Mus musculus: one gene and its partner. The protein of the gene in region 2 interacts with the protein of the main gene of each other region in a biochemical or structural test. Links are inferred from orthologs where the notes say so. Each region holds a gene or a part of one and is shown on either strand. Other genes may lie near its edges.

Region 1 (3,654 bases), on a different chromosome or scaffold from region 2:
GAGTTATCACAAAATAACCATACTTTCACTGAATTATGCTGTCCCTAAAGTCAAATTATTTGAATTTGAACAGAAGTTGAAAAAAACCATTTACTTATAGATTGGTATGAGTTTTTTGCTTTTGTTATCAAGCTTTAAAATGAGAATTTAAATTAGTTCTAAATACAGTTTGGTATTTCAATTCATATATATAGCATGTAACCATCAATAATGTTGAAGGCTTTATTTGGCTTTGTGGCTCAGGGTGGCTTTGAACTCATGACAGTCCTCCTCAAACCAGTATGAGAGAGCACTGGTTAGTATGAAAAACAGATTGAACCACGGAATGGATTTTCATATAACACTTTCACCGCTTGAGAAACTCTGGTTGGGTTATCTACCCTTCTGGGATTATGGTATCATGGAAATGTTAATGCTTGCCCAGGGATATTAGGAATATTATTACAGATCTCTGCCTTCCAACCAATTTTATTTACTCCAGTGACAGAACACTGCTCATCAACCTCCCCGATAAGAACTCTCTGTTTCAATTGTCTCTTTGTTTGTTACAACCGGAGTCAAGAGAATCGTTGGCAATTGCTACTTATTTATACATGTTGATAATAGGCCTATTCTTTAAGAATGTATTACACAGAAGGCAGGAGGCTCTGTATAAGATATGGTCTGCTGTAACAGTAAAGCCTTCCTAATAAAATCTTTATTTCTCCATATGTACATGTTACGGACCATGCCTGTGACATAGAAAAAAATCTTATTTCATGGGGAAGAGAAATAATGAGTAGCAAATAAACCATATCAGAGAATGGGAAATTCCCTGGTAAGTAATCATTGAGACCCAATGCTAAATGTTCACAATTAGTCTCTCTCTTGTTTTCCAGTGTCAGTCACAGAGGGGAACATCAGCACTAGTGCTAACATCAGCCTCAGCATCATTATCAACATCAGGACCAGCATCAGTGCTGGCTAACTTGGTACTTACCACCACAATCACATTTGCTGCTGGAATTGGGAGATTTTCTATTTCAAGATCTTGATCAGACTCAGCCAACAGATTAAGAGACGGGTCATATGCAGGTCTAGGAAATGCTGAATTAATAATCTGGTGATGTTTGCTTATTTGAACTTCGGAAGGGGAGTGGTAGTTATGTTTGTATGCCTCTTGTGCGATGTCCAGGCTCTTCTTGATATCCTGTGAATGGTCATAAATGAACACCGGCTTCCAACTCTTCTTTTGACGAATAGCCAAAAAGTGATCATTGTTTCTGGAAAAACAACCTACAAGACAAGAATCAGAAAGAAATAAAAGATCCTATCCAGAAAATCATATAGAATATATATGTTTGTGGGTTTGCATGCATGTATATTTTTGTGTACTAGGCCATCTTCTGCTACATATGCAGCTAGAGACACGAGCTCTGGGGGGGGGGGGTACTGGTTAGTTCATATTGTTGTTCCACCTATAGGGTTGCAGACCCCTTCCACTCCTTGGGTTCTTTCTCTAGGTCCTCCATTGGGGGCCCTGTGTTCCATCCTATAGATGACTGTGAGCATCCACTCTGTATTTGCCAGGCACTGTCATAGCCTCATATGAGACAGCTATATTTGGGTTTCTTCAGCAAAATCTTGCTGGCACATGCAATAGTGTCTGGGTTTGGTGGCTGATTATGGGATGGATCCCCGGGTGGGGTTGTCTCTGGATAGTCCATCCTTTCGTCTTAGCTCCAAACTTTGTCTCTGTAACTCCTTTCATGAGTATTTTGTCCCTATTCTAAGGAGGAATGAAGTATCCACACGTTCGTCTTCCCTCTTCTTGATTTTCTTATGTTTTGCAAATTGTATCTTGGGTAGTCTAAGTTTCTGGGTTAATATCCACTTATCAGTGAGATGGCAACAATTTTTGATTGTCTGATAGCATCCTTATTTATCATACCATAAAATTACATCTGTTTCTCAGCCTTTCTCTTGACTAAATAGTGCTATGTGAAAATACATCTCCACTGGTAGGTGACTAATGTGAAGAGAGATGTATATAACCTTGCTTTCACCATTAGTAATGACTTAGATGTGGCCAATGCAATAGGAGTATGATATGGAAACCATGTGTTAAAGTGCAACAACATAAAAGAATGCTGCTCTCTGGTAAGAGGAGAATACTCTGGCTGTCTCTGAACTTCTGTGGAGTAGAGAAACAATTTTCAACCTTATTATAGCTGTTGCTATTATAGATGTTTTAGTTATAGCAATTGAGCCTGAACACCAACAAGTACATTCATTATTTCTCCCGTTAGACAAATATTTTTTCAATTTAATATCTGCTGTTCTCGTTAGTTGATAACCGTAGAGGAAAATAGGTATTATATCTAATTTAAAAATCATTGTCTGGCTAATCAACCCATTACAAAAGAAAAAAAAACCCACCGCAATCGACTTTTTGATATTAAAGAGAGGAACAGATTAAAACAGCAATACTAGCAATATAGGTATGCCAGATTTGCCTGTTGGAAAGCAGCCTGAGTAATTACTTCTACATTTAGCATATCTTTTTGTAGACAATTTTTCTTTTATCTTTTATACATTATGTTTTGCCAAGACCTAAAAGTTGTTTTTGTAATTTTGCCTTTTGTGTTCATTCCTAAGGTCACATGTTAGTATCAACATTACAATATAAAACAATGCTTATAATGTACAGACATTGACATATCTGAAAAACAACTGAATTTATGTTGAACCTGTGAGGAAGCTCTAAACTAGAAGTAAATACTTAAAAACTGTAGACATGGGAGTGGGGGAAATGGTGAAAGGCTGAATTCGTTAAGTTTGCTGTGGTAATCATGATGGCTTGAATTCAGAGCCATAGTAACAAGAAAAGCTAATATCATGCCTTGTGCCTGTACTGTCATGACTAGCAAAGATGGAGATAAGAGAAGCCATGGGCTTCTTAGTCAGCTAGTCTAGCTAAATTATGGAGTTCCAGGATCAAGGAAAGACCCTGTCTTGAAAAAAAGGTGAAAAGGAAGACAAAAACACCTTGATCAAAGGTTGATCTCTGTCAACTACAAATACACATACACAAACACAAGCATACAAAAGCACACTCACACAAACACACACACTCACATACACATCATAACCATGTCTTGGAAAAAATTAATGACAACAAGGTCCACCACACACACACACACACACACACACACACACACACACACACACACACACAGACAGACCATAAGCATGCCTTGGAAAAAAAACTGATGATAACCAGGGCCAGTACTTGTGAGGCAGCAACATGAGGATCTGTAAGTCTTTGAGCTCCTGAGTCAAACCTTGTCTCAAAAACTGAGCAAAATGAAACAGTAATTTACAAAGTGGTGGCTTTGCCTAGAGCCTCAGTTGGTTGTCTATGATTTTTGTAAATACAGTGCCCCAAAGTAAACTGGGCAGGGGTGGGTTTATTTTAGCTTACATCCCAATCTTTGAGGAAAGCTATGGTAGAAACCTGGAAGCTGGGATTGAAGCAACAGCCACAGAGGAACACTGCTTCCTGGCTTGCTCCTCATGGCTTCACGGCTGGTGTTTTTTTGTTTTTTTGTTTTTTTTTAATGCTATCCATCCAGGATTGCCAGCTCCGGACTGTCACCACCTCCAGTGAACTGG
Region 2 (4,151 bases):
TTTGTGTGTGAATATGTGTCTGTCCACATTCATGCTATAGCATGCTTGTGTTGGTTGGAGGAAAACCTGCAGGAGCTAATTCTCTACTTCCATTGTGAAGGTCCCAGAGATCCAACTCAGATCTTTGGGCTTGCTTGGCAAGCATCTTTACCTACCCAACCATCTTACCAGCCCAGCGTGGGGGGAGGGGGGGACAGAAAGACAGAGACAGACAGAGACAGAGAAAAGGTGACAGTGAATTTAAATTGATTTAGTTACCTTTGTCCACAGCTACCACCCTTTCCCTCCTTCTCCCGTGAAGTGAGCTGGGTTGCACGTCCTCTGGGCAATCAGGCAGAGGATTTGTACGACACTGGGGCCTCAGCACACACCTGAGCCCCCCTGCAGGCCTGTGTCTTCACACTGGAGTCAGGACCGACTTCACAGCTTCACAGTGCTGCCTGCCGTCCACCACCCTCCAGATTGCTTCCTCATTATAAAACGTAAGATATACTCCCTCAGCAACTCAGGGTGGCCCACTCCTACCAAGTCTGACAGCCTGAATTGGACACCTGGGACCCACATGGTGGAAGGAATCAGATGTCCTCTGACCTCCACACAGGCTCTGTGACATACTTACGCTCCAACACACAAAATTAATAAATGTGGCAAATAAACGAATAAGAAATTATGGAAGCTGGGCATGGTGATACATACAGCTTCTAACTAATCCTAGCACTGGCGAGTTAGTATGTTGAGGCCAGCCTGGTTACCTAGTCTACATAGTGAGTTCTGGAACAGCCAGTTCCATGTCAAGAGACCCTCTTAAAAAAGAAAGAGAGAGAGAAAAGAAAGGATGGAGATGTGGCTCAGTGGTAGGATGCTTGCCTAGTAGCATCCTGAATCTGTATGATGGCTCAGGCCTAAAGGCAGGAGGATGTGTTCAAGGCCAACCTCCACCACATAGAGAGCCTTTGGGGCTAGCCTGGATTACCACTATCTGTTTAAATGAAACAAAGATGTGAGGCAGGTCTTCAAAGGTTAACTGTAAGCCGGGTGGGTTCCCTTAGCATTACTGAGGGCCACTGGCCCCTGGGGCTGCAGAACTCTCTTGGCAGACTAAAGTACCCTAGTGGCCAAGGCAGGGAAGGAACAGCGTAACTAGGCGGGAAAGCCGGGTGCGCGCCCAGGAGACCATGTGACGTCTCGGGCCCGCGCAGGCTCGCCCGGCAGGCGCGGGGGCGGGACGCGCGGGGGCGGGGGCGGAGCCTGGCGCGCGGCCCCGCGGTGACAGGGCGGTAGGGAGGGGCGGGGCCGCGGGCGGGGCAGCGGGGGGAGGCGGGAGGAGTGGAGATGGCGGCGGCGGCGGCGGCTCCGGGGGGCGGGGGCGGGGAGCCCAGGGGAACTGCTGGGGTCGTCCCGGTGGTCCCCGGGGAGGTGGAGGTGGTGAAGGGGCAGCCATTCGATGTGGGCCCACGCTACACGCAGCTGCAGTACATCGGCGAGGGCGCGTACGGCATGGTCAGGTGAGGGGGCGTCCCGGGAGGGGGCTTCGGAGCAGGGACAGCAGGTGTGTGCTCGGGACATGGGGGGCTCAGGGAGTGTCGCAGGGGAAGTATCGTGCAGTGACTTCTGGAGGACTAGGCGCTACTTTCTCCAGGGAGGGGGGTTGGAGGCTTTGAAGCCACCTTGTATTGTTAAGGGAGGGGCACCTGGGGGACCCTAGAGATAAAGGTGGAGCTAAGAGGATGAAGGGGGAGTGAGGGACCCACGAGCAGGTAGTGGGAGCCTTGGTTCCCCCCTGATGAGGCTGTGACAGAGAGTTTGAGAGAGGAGAGCAAAGCTCAGGGTGGGGCAAACCTTTGCACCTCTGCCCCTGGCAAGGCTAGGGGCCCAAAGTAGGGAAGGGTCTCTAGAATGTGCCTTATTTTGTGGTATACGGGTTTGTGAGTTCTCGCTGCCCCACTGTGTGCTCTGCTCTGGGCCTTTGTTCCTATGGGAGCAGCTCTGACCCAGGAACCGCACAGGGAGACCTGCCTGCCCCTCCTTATCTCTTCTCTCCTGTCCCATTACTGAATCCTCTAGGCTTCATCTACTTTCTCCATTTAACTCCTATCCCCTGGACCTGTCTGGGATTGAGAGAGTCCAGCTTGGGAAAGGGGAGGAGGGTGAGGGCAACTAGAATGTAAGAGGGTCCAGGAGAAAGGAAGTCGGTGAGTGGCCACTCTCTTCCTCTGTTTGTGAAGTCACTGAAAGGCTGCCTGGCTGATACCCAGCTTTCCCCTGGAGATCCCAGGCCTTCACAGCAGGAAGGAGCCAGCATTGTTTACATTTGGCCAGAACCCTCTCCTCCTCTCTCCAGTCCCTGCCAAGACCTGGGTGGGGCCAACAGGCCTGGATTCCCCCTTTGTAAGGCCACATCTCTCTGGCCCTCTCAGCTCAGCTTATGACCACGTGCGCAAGACCAGAGTGGCCATCAAGAAGATCAGCCCCTTTGAGCATCAAACCTACTGTCAGCGCACGCTGAGGGAGATCCAGATCTTGCTGCGATTCCGCCATGAGAATGTTATAGGCATCCGAGACATCCTCAGAGCGCCCACCCTGGAAGCCATGAGAGATGTGTATCCTTCACCTTAGCCACAGCCCCAGAGTAAAGCTAGGGAGCTTGGCTCTGTTGTCTGTGGTCATCTTTTGTACTACCCTCCAAAAAAAAAAAACCCCAGCAAAGTAACTTTTTAGCAGAGAGTCTACAGAGCATGAGAGCACACTGGCAGGCCTTGGATCCTGGTCTGTCGCAGCCAAGTGGAGTGGCCTTGAACACATCCCTTTCTGCTCTGTGCCCCAGTATGGTGTGTGGGGAGGGAGAATGCTGTGGAAAAAACGATCTCTATGGGAGCTTTGTCTTCTGACATCTGCAGGTCTGTGACATGACCCAGTCTCTGCCCACAGCCTGTTCTTGCTCAACAGACTCACGATTCTTTCTTTAGAGACCTCACACTGGATGGAAAGCAAAGAAGAAAACCGGTATTGGGCAGGCCTAGTGCTTTGGTTCTAATTCAACCTTCTAGCTTCCCTGTGTGACGGATGAGTTTTACTGTGTCCATTTCAAAGATAAGGAAACCGAGGCTCCTCTGTGTTAAGTTTTGCAGTGCCTTCTAGGGGGAAGGGGAGTGGGCGATACTTAATCCAACATGGAGGCAGTGGAGGCTTTCAAACCACATTGTATTGTTAAGAGGGGGAACCTGAGGACCCTAGAGTCACAGGGTGGAGCCAAGCCTTTGCACTCCTGCCCCTGGCTAGGCCGGGGGCTCAAGGAAGGGTGAGGGGCCCTGAGAGTCTGCCTGAATTCGGCAGTTCCTGTTAGTAGCTTCCTCTTCTCCCCCAGTTGGCTTCCCTGGAGCCTTCCCACCTTTCTGAGAGCCCCACCCTGATCACCTGTGGACTTGTACCTTGACCAGGGAGGTTAGTCCAGCCCTTGTTGCCCTTGCTTGACACTACTTGCCTAGTTCAGACATCCAGTTCATTGTCCATATCTACTTCCTGCCTGGCTCCATTGTTAGCAGACGGTAGCACCCATGGCCTTTTCCCTACCCACCCCTCCCAATGCCAGGATTTGTTCTACAGCCTCTGCAACTCTGACCACAGGAAATCGACATACTCCCGTCTTGCTGCATGACCTTCAGCAGGTCTCTGCATCTCTAGACTTGCACATTTATAAAGCAGCAGGGTTGGTCCCTGTGTGTATATATCTGCAGGTGCTTATTCCCTCGTTTCTTCTTTTTGAGAAAGGGGTCTTGCTATGTAGATCAGGCTAGCCCTGAGCTCACAGGGATCCAACTGCCTTTGCCTTGGGGGTGACACCAGCCCCAGTTTACATGTCTTCTATAGAAGACAGTTCAGACTTCAGTTTTTTTTTTTTTTTTTTTAAGAAAGTTTCACAGTGTATCCCTGGTTGGCCTCAGGCTAACTTTGTAGACCAGACTGGCTTTAAACTTCTAGGCAATCCTCTAGCCCCTGCCTCCCAAGTGCTGAGATTATAGGAGTGAGGTGCTCTACCCAGCTCCTGACTATTCTTCCAAAGATAAGCCATTTGTTTTTGCTTAATCTTTGTTTTACCTTCAAGTATAAAAGGACTCTTAGTTCCCCACCTTCTGGTGTATGGTCAAGCGCTC

Evidence for each region. The genes of interacting proteins can lie anywhere in the genome.
Region 1: the proteins of Mapk3 (region 2) and Ptprr form a complex in vitro, tested with the Homo sapiens proteins (2 studies listed by BioGRID). The link is inferred for Mus musculus from reciprocal best matches to the Homo sapiens genes MAPK3 and PTPRR.

What each region holds. Positions count from the first base shown.
Region 1 is NC_000076.6:116,045,719-116,049,372, reverse strand, and holds part of Ptprr (receptor-type tyrosine-protein phosphatase R isoform a precursor), read right to left. Parts: intron 1,276-3,654; coding exon 980-1,275; intron 1-979. UniProt on the Homo sapiens protein: Sequesters mitogen-activated protein kinases (MAPKs) such as MAPK1, MAPK3 and MAPK14 in the cytoplasm in an inactive form.
Region 2 is NC_000073.6:126,758,314-126,762,464, forward strand, and holds the start of Mapk3 (mitogen-activated protein kinase 3), read left to right. Parts: upstream 1-1,312; 5' UTR 1,313-1,332; coding exon 1,333-1,505; intron 1,506-2,417; coding exon 2,418-2,600; intron 2,601-4,151.